2 linked regions of the Drosophila melanogaster genome follow. The protein of the gene in region 1 interacts with the protein of each later gene in a pairwise test. Each region holds a gene or a part of one and is shown in the gene's direction. Other genes may lie near its edges.

What was found.
Region 2: the proteins of CG9377 (region 1) and CG7786 interact in a two-hybrid assay, tested with the Drosophila melanogaster proteins (one large-scale study listed by BioGRID).

Annotation. Positions count from the first base shown.
Region 1 is NT_033779.5:13,359,211-13,363,331, reverse strand, and holds CG9377 (uncharacterized protein), read left to right. Parts: upstream 1-1,766; 5' UTR 1,767-1,848; coding exon 1,849-2,064; intron 2,065-2,538; coding exon 2,539-3,390; 3' UTR 3,391-3,431; downstream 3,432-4,121.
Region 2 is NT_033778.4:16,233,770-16,237,070, reverse strand, and holds CG7786 (uncharacterized protein), read left to right. Parts: upstream 1-2,134; coding exon 2,135-2,713; downstream 2,714-3,301. Other genes in the region: CG3687 (uncharacterized protein), read right to left, coding at 40-215; CG15701 (uncharacterized protein), read right to left, coding at 3,085-3,301.

The DNA of each region.
Region 1 (4,121 bases):
AAATAAATATGTCATTATTATTTTATATCATGGTTGGGCAAAAGAATCGTCAAAATACTGCTCATGACTCTTATGAGCTTAGTCTGTTCCACTCAAAGCCACATATTTGACTCACTCAGAACTGCGCTTGAGTCTTGAGATTGCAGTTAACATTCCGTTAACATTCACTCAATTGGTAGTTGAGCTAAAAAAAACTGCATTTAAGGGAGGAATATGCAGCTAAGAGAGTTAAAAACACCCACTCAATCAAAACACTCAATTGAGACAAAAAACTGAGAATGAGTTTAAAAAGTTGCAGAAATAATACTCAAATGTTAAATGCCATTTTAGTGACACTTATCAATGCTTAAAGTTACTGTGGTTAGACTAATTTAATATGTTTAATTCTCTGAATTATATTTAATATATGGAACTGTATTATTGGCATGGAAGCATTCATATAGTCACAATTAAATTTTCTTAAAATTCGAATTTTTTATGACTGGCATTTAATTCACACCACAAGGATTCGATTAATGCTATATATTAATATGTTAATGCAATTGCTTATACTTTATCTATTTAAATTGTGATTGCAAATTGCATAAGAACCATCCTTTGATGATGGCATTTTGCGGTTGGTATATGTATTATTGGCGCATAAAAAGCGATTCATACGGATGCACAGCACAATTTACAAACAGTTTTGATCCCATTCATGCAAAATGAACTTCCGATCCGCCCAGCACAATTGGTTGAATAATAAATTTTCATAATAATTGAATATTTGCCACCGCAAGGGGGAATCGATGGCGAGTGAAGAGGGTGTGACATGTTCATAAATCTGTTTTAAGTGGACGGCCAGCAACAATAACAGGATTCATTTCCTCGAGGATAACATCTGTTCAGAAGTGTTGCAACACGATGGAACAAATTAAGTTTCGCACAGGACCAGCAGGCAGGCACAGGACACGTTAACTTTCTACACATTTGACGCATGTACTCTCCTCCTGGCATTCTTGTTCGCCCACCTCAGGGTCCTCGATTCGAACTCATACCTCACAATTCCTGTTGACAATCTGCTTAAGTTGCGTAAATCTCAGCTAAACAAGTCGGTGCATCAAATATATATATATATATATACATTTGTCCAGATGCTGAAAGCTGGGTGTTGTCTATCGAATGGCAGGCAAACTGCAGATTTCTGCCCGGAAAAACCCAAGCCATCTTGTCGCCACCTCATTTTCCTCAGAGTGTTGTGTGCATGTGCATGTCTGGTGTATTAAACTTTGTCGAAATTTTATTCAATTTACGTGCACTTAGGCGACGATTGTACATTAAGATATGACACAATCCCTAAGCCAGTGCACAGCTGATCCGCATCCTCCCCCACTTTCAGTCCCATTCGAATGTAATAGATATGGATACGTGTAAGTGGCGGCAGACTAAGGAAAGTGCCAGATACATCTGCGTAATTGGGCATAGAGTGGATACCCTTTCCAAGGGACAACTTCACAAAGTATCTTTAAGGACAGAACTATCTATCAAATCTATCTTTTGCTAGAACCAATAACTGCAAATACCATTTGCTGGCCTAGAATGTATTATAAACTGTGATTATATTTTCTCAGTGCATTGCCGCCGAAACCAATTGTCATATTGTCCAGGTCCAGCCCCTTTTTTCCCAGCACAATGTCGACTATTTTTAGCACTTTAATGGATCGCAATCTATTTTTTGCCCAATCAAATCGGTGTGTACGGCTTGAACTTTGGCGAGGCTATAAAAGCCATCGGTCGCCCAGTTGCGCAGTTCAAGTGCAAGGCGAAGGCACCTGTTCAGGGACGGAATCGGAATCGGAATCCTCGGATATGTGCTTCTATCGGATTGTGGTCATCTGTCTTCTAGGCTCCCTAGTGCCCTCCATAGCGGCATCCAAAGTCTGCGGACCGGAAAAGCATTGCGTTCCCTACGAGCAGTGCAACGAGGGCTTAATGGTGGACGGAAAATTCTATCCGGATCGCAGCAGAACGACTTTGGATGAGAATTGTCACTATATGGAAAAGTGCTGTAATATCCCCGATAAAGTGAGTATTGAAAAAGTTACGATTTTCATAAAGTTTTCCGGAATGCGGTATCAAAAACTTGACTAAAAAAATGGTTTAAATCGCATTGGAATTAAATCAAATAAAAAAACAAACAATCCTTGATTCGACGCTCTTAAATTTAATACCTTTTGGATTTTAAACCGGTTGGCTTTCTGAATTGCAGCCACATTTAATGATTAACTGGTTACAACCGGTCAAAAAAATAAAGCGATTTATCGAAAAAATTCTTTTATTCCCTACCTGATGCAAAGAAATCAACCATTTTTTTATGCTAGCTGACAATTTAAATTTGTATGATATATTTTACCCATATTACGAAAAAAATTCGTTTGTTTTTCAGTTTCTAGCGGCCAAGCACTTAACACTGTTGTTATATTTAACTTAATTTCATTTAATTGCCTGAAGTAAAATCAAATCAATAAGTTTTTAAAAGTCGAACTTTTATACCAACAGCTCCCGACTCCGAAAATTCCAGAGGAGATGATGAGCTGCCCGTGTGGAGGACGCCATGATCTCTGGTACTACCTTCGACCGCTGGGATATAAACAGCAAGAGGCCAAGTTCGGGGAGTTTCCCTGGTTGGTGGCGGTCTACGGGTCGGATACTTATCTCTGCAGTGGAGCACTTATCACTCCGCTGGCGGTGATCACCACCGCGCACTGCGTTCAGAATTCGGAAATGGAGAAGGTTCGTCTGTTGGCCGGGGAATGGGATGCCGCCGTGGAGCTGGAGCCCCAGCCGCACCAGCAAAGATCGGTTGTTGAGACATTAGTGCATCCCAATTACACTCAAATGCCATTGGCCCACAACATAGCGATACTTCTGGTGGACAAGGAGAAACCTTTCCAGCTGGCTCCTAATGTACAGCCCATTTGCTTGCCGCCTCCGCGAATAATGTACAACTACAGCCAGTGCTATGTGTCCGGTTGGCAGAGGAGTGATTTTGGTAGAGCTGCAATCCTGCCCAAGCGTTGGACACTCTACGTCCTACCACCCGATCAATGCAGGACCAAGTTGCGATTGTCCCTCTTGGGGCGACGCCACGCCCACAACGATAGCCTGCTGTGTGCCGGCGGCGACAAGGGTGACTTCGTCTGCGGTGATGTGGACATGACCGCTGTGCCGCTGATGTGTCCTCTTTCCGGTCACGATGATCGTTTCCACCTGGCCGGTCTTTTGACCCGCACGGCTCGCTGCGATGGCCCGCAACTTCTTGGAATTTACACAAACGTCAAGTTGTACCGGCAGTGGATCGATTTGAAGCTAAGGGAACGCAATCTTGATATACGACACTACATGGTGTGAAACAATTATTGAGAAACTAATAAAACATTGAATCCATTATCAAACACATGAATGTGTTTCGTGTTACCTATGGTATAAGGTAGTAATATTTCATTTCGATGGACTTTAAGCAGCTTTCGTGACCAGCTTTCCTGATCAGATTATCAGATATGTAATATAATAAACTTCTACTGACCCATGACTATCGGCAAGGCTTTGTCACTTCAGTAGTGTTCCTACTTTGAGTGGCCTCCATGGACACCCAACTTCTTTGCCTGCTGATGGTCAATTGCTTCAATATAAACTCCAGGAAAGAGTCTTACAAGGAAGACATTGTGCATGTGGACTGCACTCTGTCTTCTTCCTAATAAGTTCAGAGATTTTAGAAGAAGCATCTGCTTCCATTATTTCCATGCGTGGCGTGCATCATGGGAATCAGTTTGGATGTTCTGCTGATGTCGGAAAATCTAAAAAATAAGTTTTAGAATTACCTTCTGGACGGATTCGTAAATAAAGCTTCCATGTCGATGGGTGCTTAGTTCGTCGGTAAAGCAGAATCGCTGTTAATTATTAGCGCTTTACGCCTGACTGACGGTTTGGGTCACTCGCAGGACTCTCATTTGTCCTTTGGGTCGAATGCGATTGTGGCAACTCGCGTTGAATTATGGCTCGGCGATATGTGGTCGCCGCTTTGCATATCCTTGTCCACCCGCCTTGGTGCCTAAATTGAAAATTGAAAAATAGCTTATTGC
Region 2 (3,301 bases), on another chromosome or scaffold:
TTACCATTACCATTAAGTATATTACTCGATCTGTCTTACTCCTTTTCCAGCATCTCCAGAATGTGCTCCTCGTGGATACCATTGCTGTACTTGGGATGATCCTGGAAGATGCGCACCATGTCCAAAATATATAGCGGCAAATTGATGTGGTAGCTGTTGAAAGGAAGCCGCAAGGTGGTGGGCTCACATTCCCTGATCGATCCTTCGTCACACATTTCGTTGCTTATAAAAATACGATTTCCTTGTTCGATGAATACTTGTTAGATGAATACTATTCCGAGAGACAGGCTAAGCGAAGCCTATGCTTTGACTGTAGGATGGGGGCAGGGCCCACTTGGTCATGCCCCAGACCCCCGGGTGCTAATGTCATCCAATTAAAGGTGTCATTAACGGTTTGTCCACCGCGAAGTCCACGAGGTTTGCTCTTCAATTACTGACCAAACAAACAACGAAGCAATAACGTGTTCTACTGTCTAGATTACCCGGTAATTTGTCTAACGCATTAATAGCCTATGTCCAAAACGATCCTCCCAATGCATTAGCAATGGGTCCCCGGGGTGGGTAAAAAAAAATCGAACTCAGTCCGTAGAGTAGAAGTTTGGTGGTTTGGTAATGCCAACCAATTCAAACCGATTCCAAAACGTACTGCTTTCTATATGTGTGCATTTCGAATCCATCTCGCTCGACCCTTTGATGGATATTAGACTGCCTCCAATTCTCCAGACATGTCACTCCGGCACGCAATCCATTATTTCCGGGTTCGGCTCTCAGTTGGGCCAAAACACCATAAACGAAACATCGGTGGCATGACAGTCAAAGGGTTAACTATGTATGGCCCAAACTTTTGCCAACAGATAATAAATTAGCGCATACATTATGAAACGCCATAAGGATGCGACTTCCGGTTGCCGGAGACGGCAAGGACTCCGTGACCCAAACTGCCAATTTACCACCCCGGCAAACAAACAGGTGACACTTTCTCAAACCGAAACGAAACGGAACGGGTTAAAGACGACACACGGAGTTCATTTACATGTCGATGGTTGTTGGATATGCATACGGTGGTCTTGGATGTCGTGAGTGGCATTGTCGGAAGGCAAGTAAAATTTTACGATTTTGAAGAATCATGCTTGATCAAAATAAAGTTGGTAACAACTTTTTGATGTCTTAATAATAGCGGATTAGGCATATTGCAACTTTCTGACGCTGCAGTTTTTGGAGCTCAGCTAAAAAGGAGCAGAAGCTATTCCTCTTAGGACTATTGAAATCGATTGGTACACGCTGGAAAAATCCTTTAAGTCTCAAAAAACCTCGGAAATAAAAAGTTCACATAGAGCAATTGAAGATATATTATGCCTAGAATATCTGATAAAATGATTTGGAGTGATAGGAATCTACAAGAACTATCAGTTTAAGGATCAAAAAAAGTATATCTATTGTATAATGGTTCAAATAAGATGGCTTCATTTTAATGTAATGACTAAAAATTGCATATTCATGATTTACATTTTACATTACCCCATGTTTTGCTATATAGTAAGATATCCTAAAGGATAACTTTCAGTGAGTGCAAGTAGGCTTCCACCACGCCTCTTTCAGACTATTACCGCTGTTATCGCTGTTATATTCGTCCACAAAATGCCGGTCGATAGCCAAGGGTCACTCTCATTGGTCAGCGCATGGACAATGGGTAAGCCTTACTATCTCCGCCCCAACACATAACAGTTGGTCAACTCCAAGGGCCAAGAAGTGATCGGCGAGCGGGGAGAGGTGGACTGGACTGGGCTGGGGGCATGTAATCTGGCTAACCAGTTATATGAAGTCCTTGTAACCGGGCAGCACAAATAAATGCCATGCGGCCCCGGCCAAGTGTCATGTATTTGACGAATAATTACCGTCAACATTGCGTGATTGGTTGAATCAGCCGGCGATGGAGGGTTGTGGCTGGCTTAGAATTAGCCCCAAAGCGGGTGTATGTGTGTGTGTGTGTGTGTACGTGGGGGAGTTTGTGTGACAAGAACCTATAATTACCACGGCAGGCAGGTGGTCGCCTCGCCAGTAGCTAGCTTCTTAGCCAGGAGCTGGATTCAGATATAGCCCGGCCGTCGGCGCGAACGGAAGTCACCGATATAGGATGCACTCGCCCGCCCAGTCGCCCATTTTGGATGTCACCGAGACCGTATCGATGCACTCCGAACTGGATGCGGAACTGGAGTCCAAGAACAATCCGTCCTACTCCATTTCCATTCCCCAGAATCTTCGGCTAACCGGTCTGGGCTTTCCCGGCATGATCGGTGCCAAGAGATCGTCGGAAACTCTACCCGCCTTCGAGTATATCGCACCACCAAGTCACGCTCTCCAGGCACTGGAATTTCCGCTGATGGAGCTCAATCGTGTGGGCGTAATTGGAGGCGGTATGTTTCCGGGTTTTGTGCACCGTCGCGTCCGCGGTGAAAAGCGACCCATTCCGGAGGCTCAAAAGGATGCCAAGTACTTTGAGCGGCGCAAGCGAAACAACGAGGCGGCCAAGAGGTCCAGAGATGCGCGGAAAATCCGCGAGGATAGGATAGCATTCCGAGCAGCGCTGCTGGAGCAGGAGAACTCCATTCTGCGGGCGCAGGTCCTGGCGCTGCGGGATGAACTGCAAACGGTGCGCCAGCTCCTCGGAGCCACAACAGCCGGCGGCATGTTGTCCATGGCCAGGCAGGTGTGAACCACTCTGCGGGATCAGATGGAAAAGTGTACATATCAATGAGGGAAGCTAGTGAGATTATTTAGTTTGATGTTAATAAATGTTTAAAATAAATACTAAGGATATTCTAATAATATATGTATGCATATGCAGGTGTCCCTTAAAAAAATATGTTATTCAGATATATAAATATTGGCCCATCTATATAGAGTATTTTGCTAGTGCTAGTACTATAGTTCTATAAAGTCATATATATATCATTTATATATCACAAATTGTGCAATAGAAACCATTAAAATTGATTAAAAGTGAGTAGGACTAGTTCGAGTTTATTTCATTTTAAAAAATGATTTCAACAAACGCATACAAATAATTAGAAAATATTTAACAAGCTAGTAGTCCAGAGTGCGCGACTGCACCTTTCCAGTCGAGTCCAGGATGAGCAGAACCTGTTCCTGTCCACAACTTCGAGCACCGGCAATGTCCGTCACCTTGAGGCGTGTGTCCATGAGCTCCTCCACGGGTAACTCTCTGTCGCGATAGAAATCGTAGTGACGCACAGTGCCATTGGTGAGGGCGGAAAGCTGCCAGCCGTCGCTGGAGAGGATC